Linked DNA regions of Mus musculus. The protein of the gene in region 1 interacts with the protein of each later gene in a pairwise test. Links are inferred from orthologs where the notes say so. Each region holds a gene or a part of one and is shown on either strand. Other genes may lie near its edges. The genes, in order: Akap9 and Pkn1.

What was found.
Region 2: the proteins of Akap9 (region 1) and Pkn1 interact in a two-hybrid assay, tested with the Homo sapiens proteins (2 studies listed by BioGRID). The link is inferred for Mus musculus from reciprocal best matches to the Homo sapiens genes AKAP9 and PKN1.

What each region holds. Positions count from the first base shown.
Region 1 is NC_000071.6:4,063,511-4,075,411, forward strand, and holds part of Akap9 (A-kinase anchor protein 9), read left to right. Parts: intron 1-560; coding exon 561-1,229; intron 1,230-1,670; coding exon 1,671-1,876; intron 1,877-2,294; coding exon 2,295-2,400; intron 2,401-4,229; coding exon 4,230-4,412; intron 4,413-5,496; coding exon 5,497-5,697; intron 5,698-6,788; coding exon 6,789-7,021; intron 7,022-9,104; coding exon 9,105-9,190; intron 9,191-9,903; exon of another isoform or gene 9,904-10,268; intron 10,269-11,901. UniProt on the Homo sapiens protein: Scaffolding protein that assembles several protein kinases and phosphatases on the centrosome and Golgi apparatus. Required to maintain the integrity of the Golgi apparatus. Required for microtubule nucleation at the cis-side of the Golgi apparatus.
Region 2 is NC_000074.6:83,685,818-83,697,718, reverse strand, and holds part of Pkn1 (serine/threonine-protein kinase N1), read left to right. Parts: intron 1-3,602; exon of another isoform or gene 3,603-3,723; coding exon of another isoform or gene 3,724-3,759; intron 3,760-4,782; coding exon 4,783-5,083; intron 5,084-6,518; coding exon 6,519-6,670; intron 6,671-10,534; coding exon 10,535-10,679; intron 10,680-11,901. UniProt on the Homo sapiens protein: PKC-related serine/threonine-protein kinase involved in various processes such as regulation of the intermediate filaments of the actin cytoskeleton, cell migration, tumor cell invasion and transcription regulation.

The DNA.
Region 1 (11,901 bases):
ACTCCCATGTATCATGCTTCACTCTGCTTCATCCCCACCCTCATTGCCTTCTCATGCTTCCAGGCCACCCTTCAGCTCTTCCTTCCCACCCCACAAACAGTGCCTTTGTGTTTTAATTTTATGTTCATTTCATGACCTCTCTCCCTCTCTAAAGATGGCTTCCTCCCCTATGCCATGATTCTTCTTTGCTTATTATGACACTGTGGAACATTTGTTTCTTGTGCCTTTGTATGTAAGTTCTTAAATTTTTAAAAAATATATTGAAAAGGTAGCATAGGAATATATATTATAGGAATATATACTATAGGAATATATATACTATAGGAATATATACATATTGAAGATTGTCATTTGGAGAAATGTACTCTGCTTTATATTTAGCCAGAGAAGATTGTGTCTATATCCTTGATGCAATTTACTACCACCATCTACTGGGTAAAAATTCTGTCTTCAGTTGCCAAATGCTTCCATGTTGCTGTTACCAAAAAAGTCATGGTCATATACTTTAAAAGTATTTTTAATATTAATGTGTTCATCTTAAATTATATTTTCCCTTCAAGGATCTGAAATTTTCACTTGAGGATCAGAAACGGAGAAATACACAGTTAAACCTCCTTTTGGAACAACAGAAGCAGCTACTAAATGAATCTCAGCAGAAAATAGAGTCACAGAAAATGTTGCATGATGCCCAGTTATCAGAAGAACAAGGCCGCAACTTAGGGCTTCAAGCTCTCCTGGAGTCAGAGCAAGTTAGGATTCAGGAGATGAAGAGCACACTAGACAAGGAACGGGAGCTGTATGCCCAGTTGCAGAGCCGTGAAGATGGCGGGCAGCCCCCGCCAGCCTTGCCTTCTGAGGACCTACTTAAAGAGCTACAGAAACAACTGGAGGAAAAACACAGCCGCATAGTAGAACTGTTAAGTGAAACTGAAAAATATAAACTAGATTCCTTGCAAACAAGGCAACAGATGGAAAAGGACAGGCAGGTTCATCAGAAGACACTGCAGACAGAACAGGAGGCAAACACCCAGGGCCAAAAGAAAATGCAGGAGCTGCAGTCCAAAGTGGAAGAGCTGCAGCGCCAGCTCCAGGAGAAAAGGCAGCAGGTGTACAAGCTAGACCTGGAGGGAAAGCGACTGCAAGGGCTTATGCAGGAATTCCAAAAGCAGGAGCTGGAGCCGGAGGAGAAACCGGGAAGCAGAGGCCTTGTGGATCAGAATCTGAATGAGGTCATTTTTTGTTGCTTTTACAGTATTTATGAGGTGGTATTAAATTTTGTTTCCTTTACAGTATTTCTGAGGCAGTATTTATGGCTCAGTGGGCTATCTGCAGGCCTGAGTTCATGTTAAGGAAAGAGCCAGTTCCACAAAACTGTGTGTGACATCCAAATCTGCCCTATGGCATTGCTACACTCACATATTTATGCACACACACAATGATAAGGGTTTTTTATAGTTATGAGTAATTTTAAAATTTTACATACCCTTAATGTTTTAAAATATTTGTAAACTTCAAATGGTGTTATTGAGTTACTTAAATAGTTATGTTTAAGTCATCCCAAAATTGTGTCTATAGAATTTTATCTGGAATGTGGGTGGTTTGTTTCCTAGGGAAGGAAAATGAACTCCTGCTCATTTGGGAGTCTTTCTTTCTCTCTCTGAAATTGTCAGCCAGCCACCTGGAACTTCACTGATGATCGGACTAGAAATTGGGTTCTTCAACAGAAAATGGGAGAGGCCAAAGACAGGAACTTCACAAAGTTGATTGAAATAAACGGAGGAGAACTTGACCATAATCATGACTTGGAAATGATCAGACAGACACTCCAGCATGTGGCTTCAAAACTTCAGCATGTAGCCCAGAAAGCCTGCAGCAGGTTAGATTTTCTCCTGTGGGGTACAAATGACACACTTGACAGATCAGCTAAGCGTGACAAAATGTTAAATTTTGGTTTTGTTTTGTTTTGTTGAGACAAGGTCTTACAATGTAGCCCTGGGTGGCCTAGAGTTTACTCTGTAGACCAGGTTGGCCTCAAGCATGCAGAGAAATCTGCCATCTAGCACCACATGCATAACAAAGAAGAGATGCTTTAGAGATAACATGCGTCTACATTAGATGGTGTTCCTGTAGCAGAAATTACCCATCTGGAAACAGCTAACACCTTGAACCAGAAAAGTCAAGTGACCAAGGACCTCTCGCTGCTGGTGTGTTAGTGAGACAGAGCAGCCCACGCCTAAGTGTGTGTAGGAGTGTCATTGGGAGGTCTGTTTTCACTTTTTATCTTTTTCTTAAAGGCTGCAGTTTGAAACAGCCGGTGATGATGCATTTATTTGGATTCAGGAGAATATTGATGGAATTATTTTGCAACTACAGAAACTAACTGGCCAGCCAGGTGATGAGGTAAAACTTTTAAACGTTCCTTGTAATGAGAACAAAGCTCAAATACATTATGAACTGCTTGAAAATTACCAGACTATTTTGTAAGAGTTTTGATTTCGTTTTTTATTTGAAATACAGTGCTGCTTCCCCCCGCCCCCCAGAGGTGTTGAGATTAAGGGGGAATCACATTCGTTATTGTTGCTATGTAATTAGTCTCTTACACAGTCAAGGCTTCTTAAGAGGGTAACCTGGCTTCCCTGTCCTATCTCCATGAGCTTAGAATCCTACTGGCGCCTTTCTTCACAGGTGACTGCTCTGTGGAACTTTTCACTCCCTCTTTGTACATTTGACACTTGTTTGGCTTTTTTAACTTTTTGGCTATTTGAGACAGGTTCTCTCTGTGTGGCCCTGGCTGTCCTAGAACCGGCTGTATAGACCAGGCTGTCTCCAAGCTCATAGAGTTCAGGTTGCCTCTGCCTCCTGAGCCTTGGGATTAAAAGCTTGCACCACCAAGCCCAGCTGTATTTTGCTTTCTTAAATCCTGTTTTCCTTGTCTTCTGTATTTCTGCTCTCTCTTAACCTGCTGTCAGCCAGTCCTGTCTGTCCTTTCTCTTGCTTCTGTAGTCTTGCTTTTCTCTTAACTACAAGTGTGAAACCTCCCATTTCCCACGGCATGGACTCTCTTGGCTTGGTGAGCAGTTGCTGTGTCCCAGGCACTGCTCGGGGTCCTGGGATTCCTGTAGCAGAGTGAGCAGAGTCCTACCCTTGTGCCGTGCTTTGTGCTGTGCACTGTGTGCTGTTGCTGTGTGCCGTTGCTGTGTGCTGTGCGCTGTGCACTGTGTGCTGTACGCTGTGCACTGTGTGCCGTTGCTGTTGCTGTGTGCTGTGCACTGTGTGCTGTTGCTGTGTGCCGTTGCTGTGTGCTGTGCGCTGTGCACTGTGTGCTGTATGCTGTGCACTGTGTGCCGTTGCTGTTGCTGTGTGCTGTGCACTATGTGCTGTGCACTGTGTGCCGTTGCTGTGTGCTGTGCGCTGTGCACTGTGTGCCGTTGCTGTGTGCCGGTGCTGTGTGCTGTGCACTGTGTGCTGTTGCTGTGTGCTGCAGCTGTTCTGCTGTAGCGCCGTGACCTGTGCAGAGGAGTGTGTCCAGTGAGTTACTGGGGACACTCTCCAGTGGTGATCCCTTAGGAGCCTCACACACACGTTCATACTGAACGTTGTCTTCCCTTCCCCTCCCTGACCTCCTTCCCCTTCCTGTTTCTGTTATCACTCAGTTTGGAAAGCTGGGAGTCACCACAATCCATCTTCCTTCTCCCTTCCCTGTATGCATGAGCAGACAGAAGCCATGTAAATGTCCATTCATGTGCCATTTACTCTCTGTCCCTGCCTCAGTATTTCCTGTGTAAACCGTTACAACTTTCTAACAGAACTGTATCTTTCCCTAAGCTGCTCTGCCAAGTACACGGCTGCCAGAGGAATGTTTGTAAACATGTCAGCTTTGTGCTGGCACCTCCTAAAGTCACCTTGGCTCTCTGTTGCCGTGCTTAGGCCTGACATAGCATGCAGCAACATTTAGTCTGACAAAGTGCTGCTAGTTCCTTTAAAGCAGCACACTCTTGCCTGTGCCTCTGTCCCTCTGTCTTGCTGTGTGTGTGTGTCCTGCTTCCTGTGCCCTCCCCAGCTGTTTGCCTGCTTGGCACATTCTCACTATTACCAAGCACCAGTTCATGGAGTCCCTGTCCCCTGTCAGCACCTGTTAGTGTTTACAGGAGTTCCTCGTGTGTGTATGTGTGTGTTTGTCTGTCTGTCTGTCTGTCTGTCTATATAACCTTGTGCCATTGTTTTTCCAGCACAGCTTAGGACCCCCCAGTTCTTCCTGTGGCTCCTTAACTGAAAGCCTAATGAGACAAAATACTGAGTTAACAAGACTTATCAACCAACTAACAGAAGAAAAGAACACCTTACGGAGCATTGTCATAAAGCTGGAGGAGCTGAACAGGTGCTACTGGCACACAGGAGCCAGCAGAGACTGTGTACGTCTGCTTTTAGAAATAACTCAAAGCTAGGGGCTTCTCTCTAGTTTTACCTTTTAACCATAGTCCAAAAATATCATGTACAAATCTTATTAGGATATGTAGAAAGTATTATATAAGATGACAATAATAATAAAAATACCTATGACTGAGGACAGCCTCCCCACCATACTCTGAGTTCTATACATACAGAATGGTTCATCTGCATCCCGCCTTCTACATGAGAATAACCAAGTCAAATCAATCTAAGATATAAACATGTGTTTCCTAAACACATATATATTGAAAGATGGTCAAAATACTGATTCTTTTTCTCTTTTTTTTTTTTTTTTTTTGATGATCTATTTATTATATGTAAGTACACTGTAGCTGTCTTCAGACACTCCAGAAGAGGGCATCAGATCTCATTACAGATGGTTGTGAGCCACCATGTGGTTGCTGGGATTTGAACTCTGGACCTTTGGAAGAGCAGTTGGTTGCTCTTACCCTCTGAGCCATCTTACCAGCTGATTCTTTTTCTCATCAGTTACTATTTACTATGTGTATGACCAAGTGAAAGATAATGTTAATCTGGGCATGGTGATACATGCCTTTAATCCCAGCACTAACTCGTAAAAGTAGACAGATAGCTGTGAATTCAAAGCTAATCTGGTCTTCATTATCAAATCTCTGACTAGCAAGGAAGGGTTAATGTTCCTTCACCAGTTAGATCCTGTCTGGGGGGGGGGGGGGAGGCTGTTAAGTTATATATATTTCAAACTAATAAGGTAGTCTCTGGATTTAAATTTGTTTTAAAGCTAAAAAAAAAAAGTTAGTCTCTGTATTTACCCTTATGTTTAAAGGTAGAAAGATTGGCAAAACAACTACATAGTCAAGTAAATAGCTTATTCGTGTGGCTAGCCTGAGAGTCACTCCCTCACATCCATTCTGTCTCAGTGATGTGTAAGAATGAACACCTAGACCCAGACAGTGTGATTGTAACTGTGAGCTTCCCTGTGGGGTTGGAAGGCCAAGGCTCCGCAATCCGTTGTGATTTAATGTGGTCATCTTTTTGAAGATTATCTGATAGGCCATGTCTCTGCAGTGTTCTAGGTTCTCATTTATTGATCCAGCTGACATCGAAGCCATCATTGCTTCAGAAAAGGAAGTCTGGAACAGAGAAAAGTTATCTCTTCAGAAAGCCTTGAAGAGGGCAGAAGCAAAAGTGTACAAGCTAAAAGCTGAACTACGAAACGATGCCTTGCTTCGGAATCTGGGCCCTGACACTGATCATGCTGCCCTGCAGGTAGGCGGTGTCTTGCATGCGTGTGGATCCCTCTTGCTGACCCTAACTGAGCAGACCACAGAACGCTAAGTGCTTGCTCAGTCTGTGTCCCTGCGCATCTTTTCAGTCTGGCACAGTTGCAGTGTCTCTGCCTGTAGAGAGGCATTCATAGAACTGGAACACACTCAGTTCTGCTTGTCTTGCTGTCAGCCATGTGGCCCTCATCCCGGAGTCTTATCCCCTATAGACAACCAGAAGTCTTCTCTTTCAGTTCCCTAAGCAGAGCACGACTGTCCACGGAAGGCATTGCACCCTGTGTAATGTGGAGGATGGATGCTGTGGTAAAGCTGCCTTGATCAGTTAGCTTAAGTCCACAGAGGAGAGGAAGACAAGAGGGACAGACAGACAACTATGGGGTGGACACAGAGGGACAGACATTATGCAGTGGACAGAGGGACAGACAGACAACTATGGAGTGGACACAGATGGACAGACAGACAACTATAGGGTGGACATAGGGGGACAGACAGACAGCTATGGAGTAGACACAAAGGGACAGACAGACAACTACACGGTGGACACAGAGGGACAGAGAGAAACTTATTTAACAAGTTAAATGGATGAATGACTAATTTTTTAAAAATGAAGCCAATATATATATTTTTTTAAAGATTTATTTATTTTATTTATATGAGTACACTGTTGCTTTCTTCAAACACAACAGAAGTAGGTATCAGATCTCGTTACAGATGGTTGTGAGCTACCATGTGGTTGCTGGGAATTAAACTCGACCTCTGGAAGAGCAGTCAGTGCTCTTAACCACTGAGACATTTCTCCAACCTGAAGTTGATATTTTATAAACATACACAATGACAGAAATATTTGCAATAAATGTGATTGAAGGGCTAACCCCCCAAATCAGTGCAAACACAACTCCGACTAGAAGTTACACTTCAAAGGCTGTGTCTCTCCTTGTCAGCTGGGCTGTTAAAGAAGACAGCAGCCTGTCGTGTGGCCTAAGACTTTCTCCTTTCCTCTAGGTAGTCTTCCTCTGTAGAACAGCTCAAATGACTTCTCACTGATGTCTTTGTTCTTTTCTTCATTAACTATAGAAAATTTATAATAAATACTTGAGAGCTTCAAGTTTCCGGAAAGCTCTCATATATCAGAAAAAATACCTGCTGCTGCTCCTGGGGGGATTCCAGGAGTGTGAAGACGTCACCCTGGGGGTTCTTGCCCGAATGGGGGGACACCTAGCCTTGAAAGATTCCAAGACCATCACCAACCACCCGAAGGCATTCAGCAGGTTTCGCTCCGCCGTCAGAGTGTCCATTGCGATTTCAAGGTAAAGTCTTAAAGAACACTCACTTTGGTCATAAGCCAGCTCGCTAGGGAGATGCATGTGAGGTAGACACTTTAGAACTGAGCACTACTTCTTCCTCTCCAGGTTCTCACCCTGGCAGCAGCATCTCTGTTCTGTGTAAACCCTAGACAATGACTTTCCAGGTCTAAGTACCCGCTCATGCCGGGCCCAGTCCACGTTGTCCTTCCAAAATTCATCCAAATTAACTTAGCTGGCACACATAGATTATACAATGAAAGGATGTTTTTGAAAAAATACTGCTAAGACTGGTATATGTTTATTTTCTTCACTGTTAAAATCAGCTACACAGTGCCCAGTTGCGGAATGCCCTGGTTTAAGTCTGCTCGGGCAGGGATTGGACTCTCAGTGCCCCCCTTTTCTTCCCTAGCAGTAGTCCAGCCTGGGCACTTGACATTGGTGCTGCTAGTGGCTGCAGAGAATGGAGACCCAGCTGTCCCCCACGCCTGGCCTGCTTTGGGTTGTGCTTCAAAATCCCCTTTTTTCTCTTCACAACCAGAGTCTCAAAGAAATCTTGGTTTTTAAAAAGTTGTGCCAGTCGGTAACATCTGCTACTGCTTCAGAGCGGGGCAGTTTCTTCTCCTCTTTTCCTTTTCCTCTTTTTAACTTCTACTTTGTGTGGACTGGTGTCATGCCCATGTATATATCTGTGTACCACATGTGTGCCTGGAGCCTGCGGAGGCCAGAAGAGGATGTCAGATCCCCTGGGTGCCAAGTGGGTACCGAGAATCAGATGAGGCTCATCCGCAAGAGCAGCCGCTGCTTGTCACCTCTGCGCGCTCTCTCTCTTTCTCTCTCTCTCTCTCTCTCTCTCTCTCTCTCTCTCTCTCTCTCTCTCTCCAGCCCCTACTTGGTAATGTTGGAACGGCTTCCAGTTAAAATCCTGTGCCATATTTTCCAAAGAAAACTAAGTTAAAACCTGGAGGCTGTTCAGAGACTACCGTCAAGGAATTCAGTTCACAGATGAGGCAGGAAGAGGGAAAAGCTGAGGCAACACACCCTACAGGCCATGGCAGCCAGGCAGAAAGGAGATGAGCCTCTTTCAGTCAGGACAGCTCTGCACTGGAGCCTGGGTTTATCTTACTGTTGGCCTCTGCCCTGCCTGCCTCTTTGGTCCTCACGTGAAGTTGGCCTCAAGCCCCACTGCTCCTTTATCACCTTGTACAGGGTAAAATAGGGCAAGCCCAGTGGGTACATTAATAGACAACACCCTTCTACTGGAGAGAGTACAGTGCATAGGCTTCAGAGACCTGGAACAGGCTTCGGTGGTGACAGGAGTCAGCCTGTAATGCAAAGTTCAGAAGGCTCCCTGAAGGAGAAAAGCTACTATCAAGCCCTCACCTCCCTCCTTTAAAGGCATGGATTGAGATGGGGTCTCTTGTCACTCTGGCTGTCCTGGAATTATGTAGACCAGGTTGGTCTTAAACTCAGAGATCTGCCCACCTCTGCCTACCGAGTTCTGGAAGTAAAAGAGTTTCCTAGCATTCCTGGCTCATTCCTTTCACTTTGCCCTGCTATAGGCACATGGTATTTTGATCCTCCTTAAACTGGACTCTGAAATTGGCATTAACAACTTACAACTGGTACTCCAAAAAGTTCCACAGCCCAGGGCAGAATGGGCAGTCAGCAAGGAATTCAAATTTCTTTTGAAACCACCACTGTTTCTGTTCCTGATGACAGGGTCTAACACTCCCCAGTTTCCCTGGCCTCCTGTTACTGCCTGTCGAAATTTGTTCTTTTATCATCTACCTGATCACCTTTCTTTCCTCTTTCTGTTACCTCCATCCTCTCGTTGTCCACTGTTTTTCTGTCCATTTTTGCCCCACATCCTCTTCTGCTCCACTTATTAGAGACACTGGCGTGGCCTCCTGGGGCATGAAGGGAGGCCGTGCCCTGCACTGTACTTGGAGAATTATGTGTCATTTAGCTGAGGTGGTCTTGTGACTGTGCTGAAGGGTTTGTGTTCATAATTAAATGGCATGGTTTTGTGGGATGTCGTGCTTATATTTATGACTTTGCTTTGAGATTTTATGTTTGGCTCTTTTAGAATGAAATTTTTGGTGCGGCGGTGGCAGCAAGTGACAAGTACTAGCTCCATCAATATTAACAGGGATGGATTTGGACTGAGTCCAGGTAAAGTAAAAAAGGAAAATGGCATAATTTCTGTGTATGACTCTGAAATTGCTATGTGAGTAATAGCTGTCAAATAATTCTAATGTTGGTGTTGTCTAAAGATACAAAAACCGTGTAGCTCTTCTGCTCTTAATTCTTTGTGTTTATTACATAGCTACTTTGTGGGTTGTTCTCTCTGTCTGCTAACAGTATCTTCTGTGGCTCAGCTTAGCTTCTCTCGGCTCAGCTGTCACCAATGGTCTTCTCAGTCGGCTAGCCCAATTCACTTTCACCTGTCTCTTATTTTCAATCTCATCTCTCCCCTCCCCTCCCCTCCTCACATTGCTGTCTCCTGGACCCTACTTCTGCCTACTACTACTTTCCCCACCTCCTTTCTCATTCTCTTTCTCAGACTCTGCTAGCTTTTATATCCACTCCTGTTCCCAGAAGTCCAATAGCCAACCACCACTGAAGAGCATAGATCACCTAAAATAGTTCATACTACATTTTCTCCCATTTGTTTTAGTTACTAATTATGCAGTTTTGAAGCTGCTTCTCAGTCCTTCCCAATGTCTCTTCCAGAGTTCTCAGGTGTGTGATGTGATCTGTCTGTTGATCTCTCAAGAACACATCCACAAAAGAACCTAACAGGGATGCTTCTCTTTCCTGTAATTTGGGTACTGCTTCTTGAACTGTGTTTAGGATATTAGCTGTTAATTTCTTCCAAATAGTTGTTACAGGTTCTTTACCAATCTTTATTAATTACTCATAATGGCATAATTATAAGGCACTATGATTTCTCATTGAAGTCTCTTAATCTCTGTCCCAGCTCTGTGAACCTTTGCCTGTAGTGCTGCTCCTGGGCCTCTGGCTGCTCTGCAGGTGGATGGCTTTGTATAGCAGGAGACCGAAGTTCTCCTCCTCATGGCCTGTCAGTCGCTTAGGTGCTGAACCTTTCTTGTCCCGGCGTTTCTGGCCAGCTGGGGAAGGTCTGGTTCTCTTCTTTCCTCTTTTTGGTCATTGTCCATGGTTTTCAGAAGACCTCCCATGCTCAAATCTGAGCTTTATTAGTTTGATGGTATCCACATCTTTTTGTTTCCTATAAAAATAAAAATAAGTCTACACCCCAAGTGCAATACATTCACTGACTTATATTCTGATGTTAACACATCCTTATAGTATACAGGCTGATTTAATTCCACATTTTTTTCTATAACCCAGTTGTCAGCCACTGTTGTTCCTTTCACATTAATGTTCAGAAAATTTAAAGTTAACAGCACTAGTCTATCCTTCTGAGTCTTTATTCTTCAATTTTGTTTTATAAGCATTTCTTTTAAGATGCGACTAGATCTTTAAACAATTGCTTGTCCTGTAGGATTGTGTAGTATACCTATAATATGCCTGTGATTTATATTATAATATACAAAGACTTGCTTCATTTTATTGGATACATGTGCAGGGATATTGTCAGTCTTAATTTGTTCAGGTATCCCCACAATAGCCATTACTTCTAGTAAATATATAATCACAGAATCAACCTTTTCAGAAATCAAAGCAGTTGCCCATTAAAAGCCTGTGTATGTATGGGGTAAAAACTTTAGTTTTCCAAATTCTGCAAAATGAAACACTTCCATATGCCAGACTTCATTTCTTGTGGTACCCTTGGGGTTACTTCCAGTGGATAATGGGGTTTGGTTATACAGAGAACAAGTAGGGCATTTTCTTATAATTTCCTTGGCTTGTTGCCAAGTGATAGAAATTTTTTTCTTTAAACCTTTATTGTTAACTTGGTTTTTTTTTATGAACTATTGATGCTTCTAACATATTTCCTATTAATAATTGGTCAATTTCTTCATTTCCTTGGGCTAATGGACCTAGCAAGACTATATGAGACTGAATATGGGTGATATATAATGGATATTTTCTATATCTGATTGCCTGTTGCACTTGTATAAATAATGTTAATTCTTAACTATCAGGAATAAATTCAGTAGTTTCTATATGTGGAACAATTCTTTCTGCATATTGAGAGCCAGTAATTAAGAGGTTCAGGAAAATCTAATAGAACCATATGAATTGCATAGAACTCTAATTTTTGAACTGAAATATTTGGACTTTGAATTACTTTTGTTGTTTTTTTCCTGACTTATAACCAGCTATTCCCAATTTATTTGAATTGGTATAAAATGTAGGTGCTCCAGGAATTGGTTTCCTTTTACAGTGTGGGGGAGAATCCAATTAGTTCTTTTTATAAACTGAAGACGCTTGCTTTTAGGATATTAGCTGTTAATTTCTTCCAAATAGTTGTTACAGGCTCTTTACCAATCTTTATTAATTACTCATAATGGCATAATTATAAGGCACTATGATTTCTGCTGATTGCTGACAATTGATGTAGTCTTATTCTTCCATTTATAATTAAATCAGAAACCTTTTAAAATATGTCTTTATAATTTTACTTTGTGTGCTAAGAAAATCTGTTCTAAAATACTATCTTCCCTTTGCATAATGAGCCCAGTAGAATGACTCTGAGGCAAAATAACAAAAATACAGTCCAGTTTGGGATCTATGCGATCCATATATACACCCTGCTGTCTTTTTACTGAAGTTAATACTTTCTCTGTTTCAATTGTTAGCTGTCTTGGACTGTCTAAGTCTGAATCTCCTTGTAATGTTTAAAACAAAGTACTTAACTCATGAGTAGTTAATCATCCAGTGGTGTGCCATATCTA
Region 2 (11,901 bases), on another chromosome or scaffold:
AAATCTCAGGAAGTGGGGTTTTGGGTTCCTAGCCACTTTGCCAAGAGGGTTTCCCCAAGGTGACAGTTCTTGGTCTGCTGTCTGCAGATCTGTAATGGCAGGTGGAGAAGCTGACCTTCTAATTCCTCAAGACCAGGCCAGGCGTTTGCCCTGCTGCCCTCAAGTGACTCCTTGTCCCTGGGCAGAAGTGAGTCACCGAGGAGGAGGACCCAGGAGGCCCTGCCTCCCTGCCTGCATGCTTTTCACATTCCCAGGCCTTCTCTGCTGGAGGTGGGGCCAAGGACCTTCACCTCTCCTCTTTGCTTGAGCTGGCCCTGCTCCTGGCTGTGTACCTGCTTTGCCTGCTGGGTTGGGGGCGCTGGTGGGCGACAGTGGGTGGGGCCTGGTCATGACAGAGTATTGTTCAGTGAGGCCAGGTTTAAATACCAATGCTGCCTTCCCTAATGAGTTCTTGGGTCAAACACTTTTACCTTACAGAGTCTTGTTTCTGTTTTGGAGGAGGCAATGGGGTTAGGAATGGTATGAGGGTCTGGTGGTGGTAGTGCACACCTTTGATTCCAGGACTTGGGAGGCAGAGGCAGGGGGATCTCTGAGTTTGAGGTCAGACTGGTCTATAGAGTTCTAGGACAGCCAGGGCAACTCAGAAAAACCCTGGGTGGGGGTGGGGAGGTGGGGGGAGTGAGGGTGAGATGATGGCTATGCAGAGAGAGGTGGAGCCTCAGCCAGTTCTGTGCTTCTCTGACACCTTTACTTTGAACATAGAGCTTGACAGTCTAGGCTGGGAACCCACACCCCTTCCCAAGGCCCCAGCAATGGCCTTGTGTGGGGGTCATTGTGTAGTGGGGCTGTCCTGTGTACCTCGGAATGTTGACATGGATAGGTGTCCCCTGTATACTTTGGTTGTAATGACAACAAGAATGACCCCAGACATTGACATGCGTTTCTCAAGGCGATGAGAAGACGACCCTACCTTCACTGAGAGCACAGCTATGGCCTCTTTGAGCATCGGTTTCCCCCTATGGTGACTACTGCTCAGATACACAGTGAGGAGATGACAGGGTCACAGGATCTGTGCTCTTGGCCTGCAGCCTCATCCGAAGGGCTTAAGAGCCTAGGAGAACATTGCTCATTGTGATGGTGATGGCTCACTACTTCTAGGTGTGCTGGACGTGGGATTCTTCCCAGCTAATGTGAATCTTGGCTCTGTCTCTTGCTGCCTGTGGGACCTGGAGCAGGGGGCCTCAGCTAGTTTGTCCATCCGTCTGTCCTTCCTTCCTTCCTCTCTCTCTCTCTCTCTCTCTCTCTCTCTCTCCCTCTCTCCCTCTCTCTCTTTCTCTCTTATCTGTCTTATCATCTCTAGCATCTACATCTTGCTGTGCTAGGTGCAAAGGTGCCTGTTACAATCCTATCTCTGGCAAGTAGGAAGCAGGAGGATCAGGAGTTCAAGGCCAGCCTTCACTATGTATTAAATTCAGAGCCATATGGGTTATATGAGACAGAGCCACAAAATGAAACATAGTACCTGACACATGGAGGACGTTCTCTGAGACCTGGGTGAGGCTGGAGCAGGCGCTGTTTTGTTGCTCTTGAGGTACAGAGCTTGTGTGTGCTACCAAGCTTCACCCTCTGATATCACCACCACTACCATTACTTTTATTTATTTGTTATTTTTAATTATATATGGTGGGGGGGTATGTACACATGCCCACAGAAGCCAGAGAGGTCTGATCCACCCAGAACTGAAGTTACAGGCATCTGTGAGCCATTTGTCAGGGGTACCTCGAACTCAGAAATCCGCCTGCCTCTGCCTCCCAAGTGCTGGGATTAAAGGCGAGCGCCACCATGCCCGGTGATATATTTTTTTTTTAGAGCAGTTTTAGGATCATGGCAAAATCCAGGGGGAAATAGAATCTCATATGTATCTTGATCCTGATATAAACAGCCTTGTAACTGCTATCTCTGACAGTTGAGATTTAGTAAATAGTTGCGGGCTGCTGTTTGGGGCCACTCAGGGTTGTTTCTTCCTGGTGTTGGCATCAGGGAGCGACTACTAAGCCAGGTGGGCTCCCTAGGCCTCTGCTGTGAGCAGTCAGGGTGGACATCTGGGTAGGAGGAAGCAGGAAGTTGATGCTGCCTGTGTACCGGAAGCATGCATGCAGCGTTTGTGTGTGTGTGTGTGTGTGTGTGTGTGTGTGTGTGTGTGTGTGTGTGTGTGTGCGTGCGCGTGCGTGCGCGCACACACACGTTTTCTCTCTCTCTCTCTCTCCCCTACAGAACTTGCTGTTCTGATACTTAAGGGGAAGTTGGGGACAAGGGACAAGTGGGAGGGTCTCTCAGTAGTGACATGAACACGCATTAGCAGGGCTGAGGGCCTGAAGAACCTGAGGGCCTGAGGTGGTGCATCTAAAAAGAAGTGTCAGCATGTACAAGCCCTTTACCACACACACAACACACACACACACACACACACACACACACACACACACACTCTCACACACATACAGTTGCACGTAGGCATGCACATGTGTATGAGCTTGTGGGCTATGGCCACTTGGCAGGTGGAGGGTTTGTGAGTAGCTTCCAAGGGACGAAAACTAGCACCCAAAGCTGTTTGTTTATCAGGGTGTGTGCAGGCAGGTGTGGGAGTGTGCATGTTTATGAAGCTGTGTCCTACCTCCATGCTGATACCGATGGGAGCAGTATGTGTGAGACTGCTCTGCATTCCTGAGCCTGGGTCCCAGACATACACCTGCAGGCGGCCGTGTGTGAATTAGCATTCTGTGCACACACTGAGCCAGGCACAGACCTGCAGAGCTAGACGCGCACACCTTTGGGAACTTATGTTCTACCTACACATTCGTGCAGGTGGGGACTGGTCTAGTCTGCTTTCCGTCACTGTGATAAAAGACTGACCAAAAGCAACTTGGGGAGGAAAGGGTTGGTTTGGTTTTATAAATTATAGTCCATCATGGAATGAAGTCAGGGCTGGAGCTCAAGACAGAAGCTTAAAGCAAAACCACAGAGGAGCACTGCTCACTGGCTCACTTCCTCTGGCTTGCTCAGCTTCTTTTCTTATCCCAGGTCCACCTGCCCAGGATGGCACTGCCCACAGGGAGCTGGGCTCTCCCACATCAGTTAGCAATGAAGAAAATATCCCATAGACACGCCCACAGGCCAATCCGACAGAGGCAATTCCTCAATTGAGGTGTGCAAATCTCACACTCGCAGAGCTGGAACTCTGACCACACCTATAAGACTGTGGTCCACACACATGCTGTGTACCACACAATATCCTGCCTGCTACATAATATACTGTGGATGTGTGTATCCAATGTGTCAGGCATTGAGGACTGTTTCTCCCTGGCTTGTCTCCAGAGAAGCAGGCATGGCCATTTAGGGGTTGATGTGGGAAGAACCTCTTCCATGGCACACACCCTTAATCCCAGTACCTGGGATATAGAAGCAGATATATGAGCTCTAAGCCACCCTGGTCTGCATAGTGAATTCCAGGTCAGCCAGAACTACATAGAGAGACCCTGACTCAAAAACAAAACAGAACAACTCCCAACCCCAAACAAAAACAACCAAAAAACTTGCCCTAGAGCTGGCCTGGCGCAGAGGATGCTGGGAACTGGAAGGGAAGAGGAAGTGGCAGTCCAGAGGCCCTGGCAGGGCTGAGGTTCAGGAAGAGGGCGAGGCTCTTAGACCAGACCTACGACCCAGATGGCAGCTGATCCCCCTTTGGATTCGGAGCTGGAGGTAGGGCTGGGATCTCCTCAGCATGGACGAAGGAGACGTGGGGTCACATGGGGTGGCAGAAATTGAGGTTCTGTTCTGGGTGCCTCTCGATTGGCGACTAAGCATAGGAAGGAGGAAGGGAACTGGTGATATCTCTCCAGGTTGGGGGGTGGTGAAACTTGGGTGCTGTGTCAGCGCTCAGCTTTGGGAGATGTGGGAGGAGATGAGCTCTGCTCTTTGGAGTACCAGATATAGAAGATAACAAAGCAAGACCATATAGTTTGGGAATGTAGATGAGAGACGTCTGGATATGTTTCTAAGGACAGCAAAAGAAACAGTAGCCTGCTCTGGGACTTCCTGGTTAGGAATGCAGGACACCAGGAGAGAAAGGGGGTCATCTGACCCTTCTGGAAGAACCCCATTGCATAGGTAACAAATTAAGGGAGACAGGCCATACCTGTGGGGACCCTGGTGTGCACACAGGGAAGGAAGGAGACTTGTGCTTGGCCTGGTCTTCACCTTCCTGTTTTCTTATTGATATTATTTTCTTGTTATGTGTATGTGTCTGTGGTGTTATGTCCATATGCACACCAGTGCCTGCTGAGGCTAGAGGCATTGCGTCCCCCTGGATTTGGAATTAGAGGCTGGAAACTGAATTCAGCTGCTCTGCCAGAGCACTATGTGTTTTTAGCTGCTGAGCCATTTCTCCAACCCCTGACTTATTTATTCATTTACTCATTCATCCATTGATTCATGCATCTATGTGTGTGTGGGAGGGGTGTCAGAGGACAACCTTTAGGAATTGATCATCTCCTTCCACTATGTAGATTCCTAGGAGATGAACTTAGGCAGGCTTGGCAGCAAGAGCCTTTACCCCTAAACCATCTCTCTGGCCAAGACATCCCATTTATGAGCGTCAGGCCTCTGTCCTTGGGATTTTGGGGTGGAGTAGGATAGGGTGGTGGTGGGTCAGGTGATCTGTGTTCTGGTGAGGCCACCTGCCCTCTAGCTTCTGACCTTGTGTGTGTGGTCCCTCCCCTACAGAGTGAGCCTCGAAGCTGGTCGCTGCTGGAACAGCTGGGTCTGGCTGGGGCTGACCTGGCAGCCCCCGGGGTGCAGCAACAGCTGGAGTTAGAGCGAGAGCGACTGAAGCGGGAGATACGGAAGGAGCTGAAGCTGAAGGAGGGCGCTGAGAACCTGAGGCGAGCCACCACTGACCTGGGCCGTAGCCTGGCCCCTGTGGAGCTGCTGCTGCGGGGCTCCGCTCGACGCCTAGACTTACTGCACCAGCAGCTGCAGGAGCTGCATGCACATGTGGTGCTGCCTGACCCTGCAGCTGGAAGCGGTGAGCAGAAAGCCTGGGAGCTGTGTTCTGTCAGGATACTGTCCTGGGTTCACAGAAGCCACAGGAGAGGCCAGGCTTACAGGGCCACTAGCACCTGGATGAATACAGTCACACCTGTTTCCCAGACCCCACTCAAAGCTGTCTTTGGCATTAGGAGTACCTAGATATAGACTCACCAGCATCCAGGTAACACCAGAGACCCACACTGTCACCAGATACCTAAGGACACCATTACAACTATTTTCAGACAACGACTGAGAAACATGCTATCACATGAGAATCCAGAAGCCCACAGTCACACTAACAGACACCCAAATACTGCACATCTGTCACCCTCATGGCTCCCTAAATCATTCCAATATGTAAAGAAGGAAGGAAAGAAGGAAGGAAGGAAAGTGGAGAACAAGTGAGTAACTTACCTGATGTCCCTCTGGCTTCTGTGTATACACATGTGCATGCACACATGTGTACTTGTACATAAAGAAAACCCACAACACAATTTATCATTGCCAGAGTTCAGTCACTTTATGTGTGTACATGCAGTAACAAAGCAATGGTTCCTTCATCTTGTACCTAAGATGGTCATGGTCACAGGGACACCAGAAGACACCCAGAGTTTATACTGTCACACACATGTTCAGAGAAGTACAGTCAATTATGCCACCTGGGCAACACAGCAAACCCGATTACGTGATTCCAGAGACAGGAGCACAATCTCGTCCAAACAGCGTCCAAGGTTTGCGTCCTGTCACTTATACCTAGAGAGACACACTAACTAACCCACAATGACACTAGAGCTCTCCCACTAGGTCACACCAACCTTGAGAGGTATCCCACCACTGTCCCATCCACAGCAGACTCTACCTACAGCCTACAGGCTCAGCCCCTCTACATATGGCTGTGTCAGCTTTTGGGGTCCAATACTGCTGGAGTTCAGCCAAGAGTCTCATAAGCCCTTTCTGCAGTTCCCCACCACTGCATCTCTCTTGTGTTACAGACCTCACCTCTGACAACGACAACAGCCAAGTCTCAAAACAATCCTAGAAACCCCTAGAGATCAGAACTGAGCTGTACCAACAAGAAGCAGTGTCATTGTAAGCTCACACATATACACTGTTACACCCACATCTAGGGTTCTACCACCAGTGGCCTACAGACATAATCACACACACACCAGTGGGCTTATACACCCTAAGGCAGATGGGGGCATTTTTTCCAGCTAACCCTGAAGACCTGCATACCTGGTCACTAACTCACTCTCCCTCATGCTGAAGCCCAGTCTGTCACTGAGAGCCAGATGTCTCCTGCCCGTGTACTGGCCCCTAGGCTCCTTTTCTGGATGAAGGTTTCCTATTGGCTGGGACAAAATCTCCCAGGTCTCCTGGGTACACTGAAGTGACCACTGTGTGATTCTCTTCTTTTCTTGTTTCCTCAGATGCTACCCAATCCCTTGCAGAGGGCAGCCCTATCTGCTCATCCACCAACCTGAGCAGAGTGGCTGGGCTGGAGAAGCAGCTGGCCATTGAGCTCAAGGTCAAACAGGGGGCAGAGAACATGATCCAGACCTATAGCAATGGCAGCAGCAAGGTGAGACCACAGTGCTCCAGAACCTTTCGTCACTGTGACGGACCGGAGGCTGTGTCTCTCCCGTGTGCTCCCTGCCTCTGACTTATCTACTCTGGGCATCATATTATTGCAGTACATGGCCATTTGTCTGTGGCTCTGCAGACACTTGCACAGAGATGTTCAGAGAGGTGAGGAGGATGTAGTTCCAGCTGGTACAAACTGGGCTATGAGTCCTCAGTCCAGTGGAGGTCCAGACTTTGTAGTTGAGAGCACTGAGGCTCAGAGAAGTGAAAGAGCAAGGCTGAGGTCAAAAGCTGAACTGGAGTGGCAACTTTGGAATTTTTGTTTCTTTACAAACTCAGAAAAAAGAATGTATTTTCATTTTAATCCAAGGTGTGGGATATGGGACTGCTTCTGACTGTCCACAGCAGCTGACTATGATTTGCCTCGTGCTCTAGCAGGGGCATGGTTTTGCCAGCTCCATATTGTTTCTGCAGTTGTGTAACACTTGAAATTCTGGGAACTTCTCAGAGGATATATAAATGCTACAGTCCTGATAGGTGGGTGTAGCTGGTGGTCATTCAGGGGGGATGGTTGCAGTTTGTTAGTAGTTGTACTCAAAGAAGAAAGGAGAAGAAAGAAATAAGACTCCAGGATTCCCCCTCCCTCCCTCTCCCCTCTATCCTTTCTCTCCTATCTAGTGATAGGGGTGAAACCAGGGGGATAATGGTTGGGGAAAAGAAGAACCCATAAAATAGCACAAGACAGGCAATAAGTGGTGCCCAAACATGGAAAGTGAAGGATAAAAATGGGAAATTAGAGAAAACAAACAGGGAATGGAGGAATGGATTTTGTTTTTTCAAGACACCAGCAAAAAATGTATTGTAGCTGTTGCCACTGGGATGTTTCCTGCTTTGCTCCCAAAGGGTTTTTTTTTTTTTTCTTCTTTTTCTTTTTTGTATATTTTGCTTTGAAAAAGGTTGAAGGACTGGCTGGGCAGCTGGAAAAGTTGCTAGTGGAAATGGAAGGGCCTGAGAAACAAACAAACATGACTGAAATGGAGAAAAGAAGGGGGCCACTCTGCTCTCTCTTCTGAAGGGTTGGAGTTGACCGTGCATGGGAGAGGTTGCGGATAGAGGTGGTGAGCACCAGGAAAGAGAGAAGAAAAGGCTCAGTCCTGAGAGCAGGAGTTTCCCTCAGGAGGAAAGACGGAAAGAAACTGTGCCCGAAGGCAGTCAGGTCAGAAACCGGCTGAGGAAGTGAGAGGACAAGCTGATGAACTGGTTAGAGAGAGAGAAGGGGTTAACCTCGAACCAGCTACAGCTCCAGAGATGGAGGAGGGGCAGCTTGGCCTTAGGAGATCACCACTAGTTAGTTGTACAGCATGGGCCTGCTGACGGTGTGGAAAAGGGTCATGGGGACATAGGATGGCATCCTCGAGGCATGATAGAGCTACAGTCTTTTAAAGGACTGTGACTTCTTAGGAATGCACTAGCTTTATATGAAACAAATTCTAAATAACTGTGCTACTCAAAATAGAATTATTCTCCAAGACTAGAAGGGATTGGTGACAGCTTAGACACCAGTCTGCAGTTGCCATGGTTAACATGGTGGGGGGAAGAAGCTGCAAATATTGGATCACGAAGTAGAACGAGGGGATGAATACAGTAAAAGACGAGGTGTTGGGTGAAGGGCGGTACTCTGATATACAAGAACAGATTCAATTTGATGATGTTACTATAGAACGTTGTCACTTAGTGGCTTTAAGAGCTTGGGACAGGGCTGGTGAGATGGCTCAGTGGGTAAGAGCACCCGACTGCTCTTACGAAGGTCAGAAGTTCAAATCCCAGCAACCACATGGTGGCTCACAACCATCCGTAATGAGATCTGACTCCTTCTTCTAGAGTGTCTGACACTCCCTTTTCTGGAGTGTCTGAGGACAGCTACAGTGTACTTACATATAATAAATAAATAAATAAATCTTAAAAAAAAAAAGAGCTTGGGACAAAGCTGAGGAGCCCAGGAGAAAGTCCACCTCATTTACAAAGATTATATACAAGGTTCTGAAGAGGCCTTCACTGATTTTTTTATTTTTTATTATTTTTATTATTATTTTTTTTTCTTTTTGGTTTTTTGAGACAGGGTTTCTCTGTGTAGCCCTGGCTGTCCTGGAACTCACTCTGTAGACCAGGCTGGCCTCGAACTCAGAAATCCACCTGCCTCTGCCTCCCGAGTGCTGGGATTAAAGGTGTGCACCACCACGCCCGGCTTATTTTTTATTTTTATTTTTTTTACAAAAATTAGTCTCAGCTGTGAACAAAGCCATATTAGACTATCAAGCAAGACAGGTGTTGATAGAGGACTTGGTTATGAAAATTTGAATACCAAATGTAAAAAAGTTATTAGACCATTAAAGGTTCAAGCAGTGCCTATAGATGATTGGATAAGGGATATGACCAATGTTGGATCTAACATGTGCCATGCTAATATAGTAGGTCAGGTTTAGCTATAGGTGTCCAATATCAAAATGCCTGGTACTTCAATTACAGGAAATTCAGTCATTTGCAAAGAGACTGTGACTAAGCCGCTAAAAGTCTTACATCTCAAAATGCCTGGTGCTAAATTGTGGGAAATATTGTCATTTGAAAAAAAATTGAATGAGGCATCTGTATAAGGAAATGTGTTTTCTAAATATAAACCAGAAGGAAGGTCCAGTCTCCAGGAGTGTGCAGGTGATGTGGCAAGAATTGCTGTTGGACTGATGAGTGTGTCGGACCAAGAGAGTTATCCAGGGCAGTTTCTAACTATCCAGAATTGGCCCTGCGGCCTATCTTGAGGCCACACAGAAAAAAAGTAGGAACAGTTTGCTTCTTGTCAGCCGGGAAATAACAAGCAGGCAGAAAAACCTCAATACTCAGCAAGAGAGAGTCACCAGGTTATAGGAAAAACCATGGAATTAAATCAACCGATATACTATAAGAACATCAGAGCGGAAGCCAGTGAGAGCTTTGCCTGGAGGATGCAGATGTGTTTATATTTCCACAGGGAAGCAAAAGCTGTGGGTCCCATCAGAACTGATCAAGATAGGAACCCAGCAGGAGAGGGCTCCTGAAAGTCTTGGCCACGGACCCGAAAAGCACTTATTTCATTGAAAATGTCTGTTTATAATCTCCCGCTACACACAGTTCATGGCTTAAAACAGAAGGGAGAAACGTAGTGACAGCTTTAGAGTTTTGGTTTCTTTAAAAACACAGAAATATTATAATCCCAGGAGTGGAATATGGGCTGCTCCAGACTGTCCACAGCAGCTGACTATGATTTGCCTCATGCTCTAGCAGGGGCACAGTTTTGCCAGCTGCAGATAGTTATTGCAATTGGTGACATTTGGAGTTCTGGGGACTTTTCAGAGGGTACATAAATCAGCACGGCCCCAGTCGGCAGGGTTGGCGGTTGTTGGTCATACAGGGGGTTGATTGCAGTTTGTTAGTAGTCGTGCTCAAAGGAGAAAGGAGAGAGAAATTAGACCCAAGGATCCCGATCCCTCTCTCTGTCCCTGTCCCTCCCCCTCTCTCTCCTCCTCCCCTTCCCTCTCCCTCTCTCCCTACTGTTTCTCTCCCTCCCCTCTCTCCCTCTTTCTCTCCTATCTAGTGATGGGGGTGAAACTGAGGGGATAAAGGGTGGAAAAAGAAGAACACATGAAGTAGCAAAGACCAGCTACACTGAGTTGTTGGGTAGCAGAGCTGGGACTGAAGCCCATGGACTGCCTGCCTCTGCACTGGCCCAGGAGGCTGGGACTATGTGTCCTTGCTCTTACCTGTTATGATGTGGACAGCAGCTCAGACTTGAGTTCCCACTCTGCCTGCCACCTTCCATGTCTGTCCCCAGGACCGGAAGCTGTTGTTGACAGCCCAGCAGATGCTGCAGGACAGTAAGACCAAGATTGACATCATCCGCATGCAGCTTCGAAGAGCGCTCCAGGCACTACAGGCTGGAGAGCTGGAGAGTCAGGCAGCTCCTGATGAAGCCCAAGGTAAGACCCTTCTTGGACATTGGCTGCCTGCATTCAGCCTTCCAGGGGTCCACCTGCAACCCACAATGCCTATTCCTGTCTATTTCTGGTTGTTTCATTCAAGGTTTGGGCTAGGATAGTTGTTGCCAAACGCCACCCTCAGGCCAAATCCACCTGATTTTTTTCCCTCCCTCCCTCCCTCCCTCCCTCCCTCCCTCCCTCCCTCCCTCCCTCCCTCCCTCCCTCCCTTTTGTCCTTCCTTCCTTTTGTTGTGGTTAGGGTGGAATCCAGGGACTCCTATAAACTAGGCCTGTGTTTTTATCGAACCGTGACCCTAACCCTTCAATGATAAAATCTATGTGGCACTGTAGTACTTGGCAAACCCTATCCCTTGTTTTTAGGGTTGTTTTAAGATTTATCTGTGCCTGTGTGCATGCATGTGTGCATGTGTGTGTGCAGGTGCCTCAGGAGCCAGAAGGAGGCATCAGATCTCTGGAACTAGAGTCTCGGGTGGTTGTGAGTCATATGCCGTGGGTCTGGGTAAGCAGACTCCTCTGGAAGAGCAGAAAGCTTTTCTATAATCAAGCCATCTCTCTAGCCCCACCCCTGGTTGCTTTCAGTTTAGTTTTGAGACAGGATCTTTCTATAATAGCCCTGCCTGTCCTGGATCTTAGTATGTAAACCAGGCTGGCCTGTGACTCACAGAGGCAGAGTTCTTCCTGCCTCTGCCTCCTGAGTGCTGGAATTAAGCGTTTGTGTTACCATATCGAGCCTGTGATTGCGTTTTGAGATAGGGTGTCATTATGTAGCTCTGGCTAGCCTTGATCTATGTAGACCAGGCTGCCTCTAACAGATCGCCTGTCTCTGCCTCCATCCCCCACTCTATCCCTTTCTTTTTCTTTTTCTTTTTTTCTTTTGAGAAAAGATTTCACCCTGTGGCCTAAGCCAGACTTGAACTCTCAGTCCTCCTGCCGTCACCTGTGAGTGTTTGGAACCACAGGCTTGCACTGCCAGGCCCACATGCCTTTGTAAAGAAAGTTTTACTGGCATGTTTTCATGTTTGGTTTTTACCACATGCACAGAGCTGAGAAGTGGTTACTGAGCCTTGGTGAGCCAGGCGTAGTGACACAGGCCTCTCATCCCACATGCCTTTAATCACAGCACGCAGGGGGCAGAAACAGGCACATCTTTGGGAGTTCCTGGCCAACCGGGGCTACATGGTGAGGCAAAATAGAATAGAATA